Linked DNA regions of Caenorhabditis elegans. The protein of the gene in region 2 interacts with the protein of the main gene of each other region in a pairwise test. Each region holds a gene or a part of one and is shown on either strand. Other genes may lie near its edges.

Region 1 (5,040 bases), 8.1 Mb from region 2:
GTGATTACGGATGGTGTTGCAGTGGAGGTAGTTGGTGTTGATCCGTTTGTTGTTGGACCATTATCTTTGGTTACTATTTTTGGTGCTTTCTTTACAATAATATCATCTTTTGCTATTGCTTCGTTCTGCTCTTTTTTGTGATGTTTTAATATGTGTTTTGTTAAATTTCCTGGAAAATAATTGTTTTAATTTTATCAATCTAATCAAAAACTAACCTTTTAACCTACTGGATTTGCCACAAAATTTACAGACATAAGGTTTTAATGCTGTATGTACTGATCGATGCTCTGCTAAGTTGGACCGAAACCGAAAAGCTTTCCCGCATGTTTCACATATGAATGCCTGAAATTATTAATTCATAAAAAAGATTATACTTTGCTATGGGTATATGAAACCGGTCTGATCCTAGCTGAATATCTTGTTCGCGGATTATATAAGACATGAAGTCTCAATTTTTAATTTGTATTACAAGTCTATCAAGAACTGTAGTCCTAATCCCTAATCTCTTTCAAATACTTTTACATATGTCACACACAGGCACACATTCAATGACGTCATCCTTTTATCTTGTTCGTTTGATTGTTCTCACAACCAGCTTCTGCTCTTTTTCTATGGTTTTGTGGTTTTGCGATTTCAGATTGGTTTCAAATGAATCAAATCAGAAAAATGTGGGTCTGCGCGTACACACTGCGCACACAGAATCGAAATTGATTGAAAAATTTATTGCGCCCTTCTCTGGTACTCTCTATTGTGCATGCTTTTTCCAATGGGTTTCTACAGCTTTTCGAGTAAACGGAAAGGAAGGGGATAGGCAGCCATAAACAATCAACACTGGTCGGTTTTCATTACCGTCCGGCAGCAGCAGGCTGGGCTCCTTGAAAACGAGGAGGGCATGATGGTTCTAGTGTGTTTGCGTGGAGCACAGAAACGCAACACACGGATGATTAAATTTGCGTGGAATGGCAGCCACACGTTATTTCCCCGCATTTTCGTCTATTTCTGCTCATTCTATACTGACGGTCAAATGAGCATGATATATGGCTTTATTAGACGCGTCTTTCTTATCATCTTGATTTTGTCTACTTACTCGATCCATTCCCACTGGTGCATCGGTTGACTTCAATGAGAGGAGTACAGACTGAAAATGGAAATGGAACGTGAGAAAGAGTAAGCGGCGAAAAAGACAAGATAGTTCAACTGGAAAAAAACTAGGCGGAATATATCGCTAGAGCGGAAAATACCCCGTGCACCGACAAAAAGGAACAAGTAGATGACAGAGCAGCGCGACAAGATGCCGGAGGAGGAGCGAGGGACAAAGTTTCCGATGGCAAAATAGTAAGCAATGTGGGCGAGACGGACGGAAAACGATGCGATTCACCAAAGCATCTGGCCCCTATCTTTCTCCCACAAAACACAAAACTACCATTGAACCATCTGGGTGAAAATGAAAATGCGACTGCGATCAGATTATATATCGGAAGATGCGATGTTGTACAGTAAATGGATGAGATGACATTTTCGCAAAGATCAGGAAAAAGAGTGAACCGGAAAACCCCGCTGGTCCAGAGGTCAGGTGCCTTGCTGCGCTGGTCGTCTTATTTTCGATGAGAGAAAACAGGCAAGTATGTAGGAGAGGAAAATGAGCACACACCTCGTAAACAACTAGGTCCCGCCAATTCTGGAAGCAGTTAGCGGTGCACACCACTACTCTATGATCGAATGTCAACAGAACCACTACAGAAAAATCTAAAAAGCTTAGTGTCTTGCTTATATGTATCTATGTAATATTCTTAAGATTTTATTGTTTTGGTAAAATGTATCGTAATTAAAAATATCTCATTATATCTCATACCGGCTTCTGATGTCTTAGTTCAATCAAGGGGTTCTTCAAAAGTACATTCTTGTGGCAAAGCAGCTGAATAAGATTAGAAAGCGAGATCGAGCATGAGCAAAGGTGTGGTTTCCGTTGTCAAGGTCTACGTCCTAACTATTTCCTTTTTCTGTGCAGTTCACACAAGTGATTAATCTGGTGCACTTTCTGATAGTAGGATCAAAACTAAATGAGCTACCAGTCTACATAATAACATACTTAAAATTCTAATCTTGTCAGATAAACCGTGGATGCAATGAATATTTGAAAGTATAAATCAAATATTTAAAACTTAAGGTCAAAAAAGAGTATAAAACTCAATAAAACACTGAAAGACGGTACTACAGAGTGCATTTGTTAGATTCTTATGATAATATCTTATCTACCAAAGCGAACTATGCGCGCCAACTGCTGCAGTGTAACTGTAGAACTGTCCAATCGCTAACGAAACATACCGCCTGGCCTCTCTACTGGGCGAAATACGGTATGGGTGGGCAACTGTTGTGCAGTATCGTATAGGCTCATAAACTTTTGTGTTGCACAATCGAATGGAATACACAATCGAATGGAATACGACAGATATGGTTTATGGAACAAAATACTCTCTGATCTTCTAATACAATTATAATATGACTCTCGCTACTGGGAAAACTACTCTAACTTGATGTTCTAGAATTGTACTTATATTCATCAAAGTGCGCTGCCTATCTGATGCGAGATTTTCATAATCGAAAAGTTAGCGCACAAAAATAGAAAATGAGCGAATTTGGCCTATTGGATCAGATAGCGACAAATAAGACAATAAAAACACATAAAAATGATGCAAAACTGTGACTCACTTTATCGGTATGAAACATTTGCTGATGTTGTTGCAAGAGTTTTGTACTTGAAAATGACTTCGGACACTGAGGACATGTCAGACTCTCTTCTGTCATCAGAATCGTTGCTTGTACTAGCGGTGATACGCACACAGACATCCAGGATGGTCAACGACTCTGTTTTCTTTAACGTCAGCTTTTCTTCAACCTGTGCCAACGTTGATGTTTTGTGAATAACGATTTAGTGAGTATGATTGGAGTGAAGAGAGGGACCCTGTCCACAAAATAGATGGGTGCCAGGAAAAGGTAAAACGTGCTCCTGGTAGAAGGAGACGATGAAAAGGACGGACGGAGGGGGGAGGAGAGTGCCGACCGATCGGACAGGACGGGCGCACAGAGAGAGGGGTGGGGCTCCGAGCTATTCCTAAGGGGTGGAGCGACAGAAAACGCCGGAGCCGGAGAGAGCTCAACTCGTGGACGTGGAGGGCACGGAGCTCTACAGTGAATAGAAGGGTGACCACGTCTTCTTTTCCAAACAGGGAAGGCGCTCCACGACGACGATGTGGACGATAGAAAACGAAAGACAGGCAGGGGACGTGGAGGCTCCGCCCTATTTTGCATAACGTTCTGGCTTGCTATGGGGTGCCTACTCAGTATCCCGAGACGAGTCTTGAAGCTCTCTCTGATTCATGCGGTCACTCGTCACTTGGCGGTCTGTCTACAGCTAGCTCGTTTCCTAGTCGGAATGGGAGTGTGGAGCGAGTGAATGTGTTGGTCGAGGAGAAGCAGCACCAGAGCTCAAGCCTTTTCCGCCGAGCACACTGTGCCAGCCGGATACGGCACAAAACTATTCATTATTCGGGATATTTCCTACAAATGAACATGGATACAGAACTAGATTTTTGCAAACGGGTTTCATTTTTGTATTTGAAGCTAGCTATCAAAACTAAATCCGTTTAATAAAATTACTTGATTCAATTTTCATGTTTCAGCTTGTCTCACAAACACATTATTACACTCTCAAACTTAATTTAATATAACTAATAAGAAACTATACTCAACAGCGTAAAACATCTGGGCGAAGAAATTGCTTTACAAAAAAACTCATAATATTTCATTTCTAGATTTCACAAGATCTGTCAGTAACAAAACGAAAAGAAAACCGACAAGAAGAGAGGAGGGGGAGTTTTGGCGCGGTAGATGAAGAAAACATGACGATGACAGTTGGCGAAAACAGGCGAGCAGGTAAATTGTACACAGTTGCCGTGCGCCGTAATCACCAAAAAAATCAATGAGCGGATAGAGAGGGAATAGACACAAGATAGTGAGCCTGTGCGGTTGAAAACTGACACCCATTAGAAAACCCGCAAAAACGGAAAGCTGTAACGGACGATACGAAAGATGTTGGAAAAATACAAAAAATCTGACTGGTGTATGTTGCAACATGTGGTTCGTGTTTACGCTTCTCAGTAAACCTGTGAAGAGGTCACCGGCCTTGACTGAACACTCGACCGTACGTACTTTTGTAAAATAATGCCGCTGTTTCAACAAAATTCACAATATAAAACTTTTATTTTTAATACTGAAAAAAATTCCCACCAAAAAAAAGATCAACTGCGTAGTCTATCTCATGACTGTCATGAGCATAGTGCATGCCGCGGCGCTTGTCACTAACCATTTCTGCTTCTACTTTTCATTTCCTTTCTCTTCTCCTCTTTCCACTCCCATTTTCACATTTCCAATTTGGAAACCAAACAGCGGTAAAATAAAACGTGTGCTAAGGGCTTCATCCTGTATGTCAGTTTGTCGTGTCCCTTCTTGCAACACTTATCCATCGCACCGTGTAGGCGGATCTGGACGTGACAAATTGGTGAGACCTGGTGAAGCTAGAAGAAGAAAAATATTCAAAGGGGAATGAAGAGACGAAAGAGCAGGCGAATTGTGGAGACATTCTGAAATACAGATAAACTATGTGTTTATGCTCTCTCTCCACTTTCTTTTTTCACTCGTTTTGCTTCTCTCGCTTGTTAGTCTCTGCTGTCCGGCAAGTCCGACGATAAACATGTTGTGATCTATCAGCTTCACTGATGAATTCACCAAATCTACAATTTGACCAAATAGGAAGTGGTCGATTTCAGTCAGAAAAAGGGATTTAGAAGATATTAATCATGTATTGTTGAAGACTATGTGTCTAATTCAGTGCGAATTGTTTATTTTACGGCATGAATTTACTCTCAAAATTTATCAATTAACATTTTGAAATCCTAGAGGTGGGACAGCGCCAGTGGGTAAATTGTTAAAAACTCAGTTGGCAAAATATCATAGTAAAATCTTTTCAGAATTTTTCAGAAA
Region 2 (8,040 bases):
TTCGTGCGTTCTCATTCCGTTTCCCTATTCTCTATTATCTTTTTGCTCAACGAGCTAGCTTATACTACTAGGTCGTTCTACAACCTTTCCTCCTAACCACGATAAGATTAGCCACCACGGTTGCTCGTGCTGCACCCTGATTAGTATCCAACACTCTCTGGGCTTTGTAATCACTCATGTGTATAGCAGCGACCCTCTCACCTTTAAATTTGAATTCGTGTGTGCTGCTCATAGAGAGAAAAGACTCATATTCATCCACGTACCCTTTGCTTCATCATCCGCCTATACCCCCCCCCCCCCCCACAGCTTCTCCCTCCCGCTCACCAATCCCTCCTCCTCTTTCCCCATTTTATGTGCACTTTGAAAATAACCTTATGAGATCGTCCAGTGAAAGGAAATGGAGACAAGAAGAGGCGCCGGTGGAAGGCAGGGGCAATAGGAGGAGAGACCTACTGTCACTCTCGTTTGACCGGCAATAGGCCCGATTGAATGTACGCGGTTTTCACGAATTTCAAGGTCTGACCCACAAAATTTCGTTCGCCCTCCATGCATCTTTCACCCAATTTTGCTTTTGCGCCAATATCCGCGCGCTGTCCCCCCCCCCCCCCCTCCCTCCATCCTTCATCCATTCCGGCTTACCATCGTCTCTCTCTCGATTGTTGTGTGAATGTGTGTGTGACCTACCGACCTACAGTTTAACTTTCTCACTTTGTACTTTCTTGAATTATCCTCCTCTCCTCCTCAACCGCCTTGCGTTTCGTTTTTCTTTCTCGCATTTTCATTTTTGTTCGATTAGTATCCTGGTTACTGGATCAGCGATGTAGCAACAATGTGTTACAAGTTTTGAAACTAGCAAACTAGTTGAAAAAGTCTGGTCGATAGCTTATCACTTTTATGATTAACATGTTTCATTTATTTTCTATATCTGTTGCATTTCCGCCATCGTTGAGAATCGCTATTTTTCTAGAAACTAACTCAATAACTGTCAAAATGATGATTACCACGTTTTTTAGGCTCAAACCAAACCGGTATGTACTATTTCGGACAATAGAAAAACTGTATCACTTTGGAATAATTTTTTTTTAAACCTCACTGTATATTCCTTTGTAACAACTATTTGTATACAGCAGATATATAGGTTTGGTTTCAAGATATTAATAATATGATTAGTTTCAATACTATAGGAACATAAGTTTGATAAGCTTTTTCTCTATTTTCAAATTGAGCAAATTCTTGCAAATAACCGTAAAGTATCTTGCAAGTTAAATTGGTAAAATCTGTTTTTCTGTTCATGGAATGTTTAGGAACAATAATTGATTCTTTTTAATTGTAGCAAAACTGATTTGTCAAACAAGTAACTTTTTAATGTTAAAAACTCTATTGTTATTTTTATTCTCATAAACCTACCACTACAGTTTTGTACCTTCTCAACCCACCCGGCAACGGCTCTCAGTACCAGGCGGTGACGTCCAAATGCTGCCATTTGGCTCTCAACGAGCTCCGCCGCCAAATGCGTGACCTTGAAAATTGGTAGACGAACCCCCCCCCCCCCCCTTCCACCGTCCCGTCATTTGAAATGCTCTTTTGCACACTCTGATCTCACTTCGATAAACTCGACCGGCCCTACCATCCGCGCTTTTTGTACACTGCGATTCTGACTCAGAAGTGAGGAAGATTTTGTACCTCTTTCGAACACACAATTTTACTTTTTTTTTGCTTCAAAACAACTATACAATTATTCTGACTTTGTTCGGTCTTGATAATACATTTATTCACACGAGGGAGCTCATTTCCTATCTTCTTTTCCGTTCTGATTACTATACAATCGCTCAAAAACTGGGTAACAAAAATATTATCGCATTTTCACGACATCTACAAGTCTAAACCAATTGTTCTTCTTTGCTCCCCCTCCCATTTACATACCCCATTATACTGTCCCTACCGTATGTTGCCTGCTCCATCTGCATACATTAATGACCTCTGATTAATGAGCCTCTTTCAGTGCGATGGACGTTGCGGACTCGACATCTGAGACGCCACCTGTTTTTGACCATGACAACTTGGCTCTCGCGGCACAGACCAACTTGTTGCAGTTCTACCTGACACATTTGGCATCCACACTGGTGCCGCCAATGAAATTGGATATGAGAGACTCGATGACTCCAAGGTAATTGCATTTTCCTGAAGATGTGGAGAGCTTAGTTTCAAAATTTTAAATTTTCAGCTTCAGTCAAACCGAAAGCCCAAACTCTGAAACCGACGACTCCACTTCTGCAGCAAACAAAGTTCTATTCTCTATTCTTGGAACTCCAACAACAGACAGTACTTCGGTATGCGAACTGAATGAAAATTATTGAAATTATGTAGTAGAACAATTACAGAATGCCGTTTCAAAATCCAGCAGCAAGCTGTGCTCGGTATGTGGTGACAAGTCAACCGGTCTACATTACGGTGCTGCCACCTGTGAAGGGTATGTGCATTTAGATATTAAAAATACGGAGGGGGGGGGGGGAAGTTCATACTTCGAGCAACAACAAAAAACTTTTTTCATGTATTTTGAAATTTACGCAGTTTCTGCTGTTTTCTGACCTCTGTTTTGAATTGTGGTACTTCCAATTAAGACATTGATGTTAATAGGATGCCATATAATACTATTTCAGCACTACATAATTAACCAAATTTTTTGTTTCAAAATATACATCTGGAATTATCTTTCAATCTGTATCTCTGTAATTAATTAATTAGGCAAGTGTTTTTACTGTTTGATGCTTTGAAATAGTGATGCTTTGAAAATTACTCTAATATAAATATCCATGCCGATTTCATAATTTAATTTAGTTTCACTTCACTTTCTTCCCTTTGCTTATATCTTGTTTTCTATCGAAAGTTTTCATATTGTTATTTTTCTTTTCCCGGGTGGTCAGAAATCTGTTCCGCTCGCCCTCTTCCAGGATCAACATAAAAACTGTCTGGAGAGAAGAAGGGGGAGAGCTATTAACGGAATTAGTGATCGGATCGGGAAAGCGAAAGTGGTGGTGGGGGGCACCACACCAGTGAAAGTCCAGTTGTCAGCACCAGTGCGCTACATTTTCATCCGATGCTGGGGAGGGGATGCTGACGCCGTCGCCGCCGTCGTCGTCAACGTAGACACACGTCCGCCTCGGGTGCTGGAGGGGGGGGGGGGCAGTCAGATTTTGCGGCCTTCAGAATCCGCGATGATGGTCAAGGCCTTCAGCATGACACGACGCACCGCCGAACACCCAGTCAGTGAAATGTTGCGAAGGGCGACGGCCGGCCAAATGTGTCACGCACCTCGACCATTCGTTTCTCACTACAGCGCCCTTCTCGCCTCCCGGTTGACCCTCGGTTTGGAAGGAGGTGAAGTCGGTAGTGGAAGTGCACTTTGAATCGGTTTAGACGGTTTTCTCTAGGTCACACGCACCATAAGAACTTGTTTCTTTTTTTTTCAATGTGTTACTATAAAAGTGATACTATCTGAATAAACCCTAAATCATAAACCCTTAAAAAAATATTTTTTTAACTCACAATTTTTCCATTTACAGCATAAACGTTCCCAAAATTATAGGCGCTCATTGTAAATATTTCATCTCAGCTTGCTGTAAATATTTCTATTTGACTGTACTGTTGTAAAGAACTGTGATTTTTAGTTGATGTCCGTCGAAATAATTATCTGAATAAAAAAAAACGCAATTGACCCGCACTTACGATAACAATCAAGCTATTTCACAAAAACGGGAGAGCTGCGAAAGTTCCCCCGAAAGTTCAGAACGGCCTTCCTAAGATAACAATCAGTGTACCACACCGTACTCAAAGTACAGAGGACACTCGGATAACGATCAAAGTAGGTTTCAGTAATCGACAGCTCAGTTAGAGAAAGTTCAAGTAATACATATTAGTCTATATCATTATCAATCGGACATATTGTCTCTCCGGAAAAAAATGTCGGAGGTCGACAAGGTTTTGTTAGGGAATCGCGTCGGACAAGGTCGGTTCAACTGGTGCCATTTGCGTACCTCTTCTCGTCACCTCTACTTTTCGGGGCCGCTCCTCCCCATCTTACTCGCTGCCCCACCTCTCATTTCTGATGACCACGACCCAATTTAAAGTGATTTTTGTCTTTTAAGTTGACCTTTTGCACAGTTTTCGTAGAGTTTTTTAAAATTTTAATTTAGAATATTTTCTATTTTCAAAACTTTTAAGCTGCCTTGCTGTTTCTTAAATTTATTTAGAAATTTAAGTTTTAACACGAAAATAATAAAAAAAACTTATTTTTATTTCTGTATAGGCTCACGTAACTTTTTTTTGTGCTTAAGTTTTAATGCTTATAATTGTGTGGAACGGTTTTACATTTTTAATCGGAATAAAATACCATTTCTAAGCATAAAAAATGCATGGCATAGTTTGTTTTCTAACAGCGGAATGCCTCGAATTTGACTTAAAATTTCAGTCAACCTATAAATCATGCAACCCATAGATAAAAATTTCCTCGGATGCACTTAGTGCCAGAGTGTCTGATTTCGGTTTGATCTACGCAGGTCTACAAAAAATGCGGGAGTTGAGACGCAGAGCAACTGATTTAGCATGGTTAAAAACGTGCTGACGTCACATTTTTTGGGCAAAAATTTCCCGCATTTTTTCTAGATCAAACGGTAATGGGACAACATGGCACCACGTGCGGATAATCTATTGGTTCAGAAAGCCAAAAAGTAGAAACAAAAAAATAGTCCAAAAAATAAAATGCCACATTAGCTAGAAAAATTGCAACACGTTTTTTTTTCAAGACACCAGTAACTTCTCCCCTTTTTTCGTCATACAACTTGAAAAAAGTTATGACAGACGGAAAATGTGGGTAGGTTGCAAGGGCATCTTAAAGAACAAGGTCACTCGAAGACCCCAAAAAGAGACGTCTCTGTTGCTGCCTCTTTTTTTTTTGCGCATTTCACTTTACTATCATTTTAACCCACCACCTTTTCCTCCCCCACATTTTCTTTTCCGCCGTCTTCTGGTTCTTCTAGTCCGCCACTTCTCACGTCGTCTGATTTTGAATTTTTTTTCCCGCCGTCCGTCTCGTTTTCCAAATGTTTCCACTTGTTTTGTTCTGTTGCATTCATTTTTCTCGATTCTGAAATGTCAACAACTGTCATTTGGCCGCTGGTCAATTGATTTGTTCCATATGCTCCACCTGCTCGTAACTTGTTACTTGTAACCTTGAATTTTCAAATTTTGAAACCCAGCTAGTTCAAAATGCTCAACAACTACTGTATTTCAGGTGCAAAGGATTCTTCAAGCGGTCCGTTCAAAACAAAAAAGTATATCACTGCAGTCAAGACAACTGCTGTGAAATTGACAAACAAAATAGAAACAGGTATGTAAATTCGAAAAATTCCATTCAACAAAAAAAAAGTTCACAATAAACCGTAATTGACCTTCCAGGTGTCAATCTTGTCGTTTCCGAAAGTGCATCAGCAAGGGCATGCTAACCGAAGGTTAGTTTTTCGGCACGGAGAATAACCGCAAAATTGTTTGTCTTTTTGTAGCAGTGAGAGAAGATCGCATGCCCGGCGGGAGAAATGGGAACAGTATCTATAGCAACTACAAGCAGAGGAGGAGTATCATTAGGAAAACGAAAGATTATGTGGAGGAGCAGGAGAGAAGGCCGTTTCAGAGCCTTCCAAGTGGGAAAAAGTTAATAAAGGTGAGTGAGCACTTGCAGAGCGATATGTAGTTTTTTGGCAGCCCCCGACACTTTCGGGGTTTCCATACCATGGTGGCTAGTGGCTCGAGACCGGCGGAACCTCGAAAGTGTCGGGGGCTTCCAAACAACTACATATCGCACTGCGTTGCTCAGCCCCAGCTCTAAATGCGGGGCTGGAGCTGAGCCCCTCGCAGCCCTTTAGCAGCCCTAGTGCATTATGAGCCAGTTAAAAATTTGAAACAAATTATTGCCTTATTCGATTTTGCTATTTTACAGGAACTGGTTGAGATGGACTGCCTAGACCGGCTCATCAACCTAAAAGGACTCCGAATTAATCCATCTGCAAACTGCGATATTGCCCCTGCTTGCAAAAGGTTAACCAGAATAGGAGATGAAATTGTGGAGCAACTTGTTGAGTGGACGAAAACCTTGCCGTTTTTCGACGAACTACCCGTAGAAGCACACACCCACCTTTTGACACAACGATGGGCCGAGCTAGTATTACTATCTGCTGGATACTACGCGTGCTCGGTCTTTACTCCGGACTCCCCCGACACAACAGAAATGATAGACGAAACTGACGAGATCTCATTCACAAACCCACAGGTCAACCTTCGGCTACTTCAAAATCGATTATCACTGGTGCTCGGCAAAGAAATTCCATTGGAACACGTGGCGAAGTAGACTATCAAACTTAACTTTATTTATTCTAAATGATAATTTTCCAGAGAAGCCGGTCCGCTTGTCACCCGTTTCACGACCCTCCTCCATTCGTTCTCAAATCTCAAGGTCTCTCCGGAAGCGTACGTCTGTATCAAAGCTATCACTCTTCTTCACCTCTCCGCCGACTCGACACTTGATAGGAGTATCATCGACAAGGTCAACACGCTTCAGGATCACTTTGTCAAAACACTTCAAATTCATCTGCACCAGCCGGGAGAGGACGCGCAGACGACGAGCCTCGCACAGATACTTGACTGGTGAGTTTTTATTAAAAATTGTATCAGAGTTAGAAAAAATGCATGTTTTCAATAAGTTGATGTGCACCTTTGGAAGCCCACCTGACATAATTTTTAATTGCTTATTCATATCCGTAAAATTTGCTAAGTTGGCAAAAGTGAATAGTTTTCCTAATGATACCTGTCCAGTCACTGACTTTGGTTCTCATTCCAAAATAAATTATAGTCGTACATATTCTGATATACGACATTACTTTAAAAGGCTCTAATATTATATAATCATTCCATGATAAAACGTTCGCAATTTTCCAGGCTTCCGGATTTGCGAAACGCTTCGTCAGTGCTGCTTCATTCAAAAATGTTCTACGTCCCATTCCTGCTTTGCAAGAATCCGCGACGTCTAGTGTTCGACGAGTAGTCTTCCCCAATACCCTCAATACAGCTTTATTTCTCGGTTGTGCAATATAATTTAGTTCATTTTTTCCACTTATTATTCGTTTCTTTTTTTTTTGAAATTCCCCTGCCTCTTTCCAATTCTTCCCACGAAACCAAAAAAGTTGACGTTTTTTTTTTCTTCTCTGTCTCTATCAATCAATCTGTTTGATCTATCTATCATAACATAGACGTGTGGTCGGAAACATAATCAAATAGTTTCTATGATTTTGGATCCTACAGTATCATTTTCTACTACTTTTCTTCAAGTTGTGAATTTCTGGAATAATTTGTGTGCAATTCGTGATGTCTTTGTGTTCTCTCCCCATTCTCTGTTCCTATCTCGTTTCTCATTCACCCACTCTCTCAAACAATTTGTAGTGTATTTTTCTACGAAAGAAAAAAATTTATTGGTTTAACATTTTTTTTAAATTTTACAGATTACAGAATCAGAATTGATACATAAACCATATGTTATGTTGTTGAAACTGCTTCATTTCGAAGTCAGTTATTGAACTCGAACGCCGATCTTCCGCTAAAAAATAAAAATTCCGGAATTTTTGATTTGAAAACTCTGAAACTTACGTCAACAGCTGAACGCGAGGAGTTAGCATTGGTGAGTGGTGAGCCAGGCGAGAAGCATGAGCAAGACGGTCTGCTAGAAATGAAGACATCACCATCCATGCCTTCACCGTTTCTTTATGACGACGCCCCGGACCATTCCATTCGGTGGCGGTGGTTAGCAAGCTTTCGCCAAATTTTTCCCAATGTTTTCCACTGAAAATAAAGATCAATGTAAATTAATGTAAATTAATATTAAAAAATTATTTCAAAAAAAAAACCGGAAAAATCATGAAAGAATAAGTACATCTTATCTCACTAATGTGATAATCGTGCAACTCACGTGATCTTAAAGTTCGCGTGTCCTCGACC
Region 3 (3,170 bases), on a different chromosome or scaffold from region 2:
ATTTGTTTATAAGTGGACGAAACTCGGTTTCCTTCAAGAATGAGACAATGTTGATGCCAAAGTCCAAGAGCTCAGCCTCGGAAGACATTCCCAATGCTACACCGTAAACAGCTCCTTCTGTAACCATAAGTTGTCTTGCGTTGATCGTGGTCTCGGCGCGATTTCCAATTACTGCAACTCTACCACGTGGAGCCAGCAATCCGAGGTCCGTGTTCAGATTTGTGTGAGCAGCCATTTCGAAAATGTGGTTGAAGCCTCCTGGATAATCATTTTTCATTTTCGACACATATTGCTTATCCGAATGATTATAGACATTCCGTGCACCAAGACTCTTCACGAACCGGATCCCATCAGCAGATCCAGCAGTGCCAACAGCTTCAATGTTCCTCCAGGCAGCCAGCTGCATCAGTGCACTTCCCACTCCACCAGATGCTCCGTGTACAAGTATAACGTCGCCAGTCTGAGAAGAGAATTAGTTTTGGGAGGGAACAGCAGATGGTCGTATTTTAGACCGCCCCTTGTTTGAGATGGAACAGATGGTCAAGTTGGCTTTGTAAAGATTGATTTGTATTGATTTTGCCTCCTAATTTTGATACGTTTTTGCCAAAATTTTAATATTCTCTATGAACCATTTAATAATAAATAAAAGTCAAACCTTTGCACCAGCAAGATGAAACAATGCACGATAAGCGGTAAGATAAGGCACTCCGAGAGAAGCTCCTTCCTCAAACGAAACTCCTGAAATGAGATTTTAGCTATATCTTAGGTCTCGCCACGCGGGCAACTAGCTACAGTAACCCGTTGCGCAATGATTCTTTTACCTTCCGGCAACTCGAATGGTCGATTCACCGCAACATACTCTGCTGTACTGTCCGCTTCTGATCCATACCAGACTCGATCGCCGACTTTCACATTTTTAACGCTTTCTCCCACAAGTTCGACGAATCCGGCTCCATCTTTTCCTGGTACATATGGAAGATTTGGTAGTTTTCCATACTGACCAGCACGAATATATGTGTCAACTGGATTGACACCGGCAGCGTAATTCCGAACGAGAACCTGGTTTTTTTCAAGCCTGGGCATATCACTCTCGACGGCTTCTATGACATCAGGTGCTCCGAATCGTCGGACTACAGCTGCGCGCATGCTTGATTTGCAAATCGATTTGCTCATTGTTCTAAAAATGGCACTTATCAGTAATATGAAATGCGTACTCGCACTGATTAGGCGCACGGATTTATTCGGATGGGTCTCGCAGCGAGAAAAATGTTATGGTAACACTTTGTGGCGGGACCAATCCGAATCAAACCGTGTACCTTTAAGTACGCGTTCAGAAAATTGCGAAATTACTATATTTTTGCAACTTTTGTTTCATTTTTCCGTAAAAGGTTTGAGTAAATGTTTATCAAATTATCGACTTTTAGACTATTTTTAGTGTTTTAGCAGAAAATCTCTGAAAATTCGACAAAATTTGATTAGAATTACATAACAAAAAACAATTTTAAAAAGCTAGGACATTGATTTGCACGGGAACTCAACAAAAAATCAGAAAATTGATTTTCTTTTAGCAAAATTGAAAAAAAAAAAACAATTTTTAGCAGCTGTGCCTTTAATACAAAACAAAGATTGAAACGATGATAACCAATATTCAATTTTTATAATTTTTTTTCGGTCGCAAACAAAATTGTCATCATTTTCTTGTGATTTTATTGAACCCAAGTGTTTCATTTCAATGTTCACAGATCTTGTCCGAGAGGACTACACAGTTAGCCTTAGCAAACGCGCTCCACTGGGCACTCACACAAATCGAATGAGCGCGCGGCAAACGAGCGTCAAGCCGTGCTAGCAGGCGGATTGTCCGACGAAATTATCGATTTTTTCTTGATTTTTCGGATTTTAAAGCAAATTTCTTTGTTAATAATTTCAATTTTCAGCGTTCCAGCAACTTGGGCACTTTCAAAATGGGTAAGTTCGCTTTCTAAATTCAAAAATGATTATTTTCGCATATTTTTCTCTTTTCCAGTCGATGTACCACGCAATTTCCGTCTGCTGGAAGAACTTGAAGAAGGACAAAAAGGCAAGGGAGATGGAAACATTTCGTGGGGTTTGGAGGATGACAGCGATATGACTCTCACCAGATGGACTGCTTCCATCATTGGTCCACCGAGAGTGAGTCAGCGGAATTAATCATTTTTTATTATTAGTTTTTTGCTTTCAGACTCCATACGAATCGCGAATCTACAATCTGCAAATCCAGTGCGGCGGGAATTATCCGCGAGAGCCACCAACCGTTCGTTTCACCACCAAAGTTCACATGGTGGGAGTCAATCAGAGCAATGGAGTGATTGATAAGCGAAATTTGACAACACTTCGCAACTGGAGCAATAGTTACATGATCAAGACCGTGCTCGAGGATATCCGCAAGAACATGATGATGGCCAAAGAGAATCTGAAATTGCAGCAACCGGCAGAGGGCGCCATGTTCTAAATTCTTTTATTGATTTTTTGTATACCCAGTTTACTCTCCCCGGTAGTAGCTTTCCCCTCGAACTTTTCCCCCACACTTTATTTATAATTATTATATTATTCGCCATTCAATTTCCATGTAAAATTTTAAAATTTCAATGTGATTTTTTTATTTTTTGTTCTTCATTTTTGCGTAATTTTAACGCATTTCATACCTACCTGCTCAATTACTGTCTCTTTCGAGATTTCAATCATGTTTTTCAGATTCAATTATCCTAAAGTATGTCATATGCCGATTTGAAACCAGTCAAATTCGATTTCGACATTCAATATCAACCATCCAGCCAGCATCCTCCGTACTATAATTCGTTTGGAATTGCCGAGCCGGATCCCCGTCATAATTTGTACGCACCAACAGCACCACCACATCATCATCATCACCACCATCAGCACCAGCCACAACAACATTTACATTATATGATTGATAGTCAAGACTCAGATAGTCAGGATTCTGTGGACTCTTTCCGTACACCTGCACCGATCTCGTCTGCAACAAGGTTTTCTACTCACACTCCTCGAGCTTCCAGAGCGTCGAGTAACGATTCTGAGAGCGGAGAGCTTAGCGAAGAAGTTATGAATCATTGGTTGCCAATGACTTGGTGTGAACGATCGTCGGATGATCCACAAGGTAATTAATATTCAGA

The links.
Region 1: the proteins of nhr-91 (region 2) and syd-9 interact in binary tests that used the Caenorhabditis elegans proteins (3 or more experiments, as listed by UniProt).
Region 3: the proteins of nhr-91 (region 2) and uev-1 interact in a two-hybrid assay, tested with the Caenorhabditis elegans proteins (2 studies listed by BioGRID).

The regions. Positions count from the first base shown.
Region 1 is NC_003284.9:7,216,275-7,221,314, reverse strand, and holds the start of syd-9 (Zinc finger protein syd-9), read right to left. Parts: upstream 3,046-5,040; 5' UTR 2,848-3,045; coding exon 2,710-2,847; intron 1,139-2,709; coding exon 1,088-1,138; intron 972-1,087; exon of another isoform or gene 740-971; intron 343-739; coding exon 216-342; intron 170-215; coding exon 1-169. UniProt on the Caenorhabditis elegans protein: Plays a role in regulating synaptic function, probably by modulation of endocytosis. May be dispensable in muscle for normal locomotion. May be involved in post-transcriptional mRNA processing, in parallel with unc-75.
Region 2 is NC_003284.9:15,307,373-15,315,412, forward strand, and holds nhr-91 (Nuclear hormone receptor family member nhr-91), read left to right. Parts: upstream 1-2,002; 5' UTR 2,003-2,006; coding exon 2,007-2,167; intron 2,168-2,224; coding exon 2,225-2,330; intron 2,331-2,381; coding exon 2,382-2,470; intron 2,471-3,027; exon of another isoform or gene 3,028-3,321; intron 3,322-3,996; exon of another isoform or gene 3,997-4,131; intron 4,132-5,290; coding exon 5,291-5,386; intron 5,387-5,454; coding exon 5,455-5,507; intron 5,508-5,558; coding exon 5,559-5,716; intron 5,717-5,992; coding exon 5,993-6,396; intron 6,397-6,444; coding exon 6,445-6,696; intron 6,697-6,869; exon of another isoform or gene 6,870-6,938; intron 6,939-6,987; coding exon 6,988-7,093; 3' UTR 7,094-7,522; downstream 7,523-8,040. Other genes in the region: glb-28 (Globin domain-containing protein), read right to left, coding at 7,612-7,642, 7,693-7,884, 8,012-8,040. UniProt on the Caenorhabditis elegans protein: Orphan nuclear receptor.
Region 3 is NC_003279.8:14,788,310-14,791,479, forward strand, and holds uev-1 (Ubiquitin-conjugating enzyme E2 variant 1), read left to right. Parts: upstream 1-1,934; 5' UTR 1,935-1,961; coding exon 1,962-1,965; intron 1,966-2,023; coding exon 2,024-2,169; intron 2,170-2,218; coding exon 2,219-2,488; 3' UTR 2,489-2,625; downstream 2,626-3,170. Other genes in the region: F39B2.3 (15-oxoprostaglandin 13-reductase), read right to left, coding at 1-460, 656-738, 822-1,173; hinf-1 (C2H2-type domain-containing protein), read left to right, coding at 2,749-3,154. UniProt on the Caenorhabditis elegans protein: Involved in protein ubiquitination, but has no ubiquitin ligase activity on its own. The uev-1-ubc-13 heterodimer catalyzes the synthesis of non-canonical poly-ubiquitin chains that are linked through Lys-63.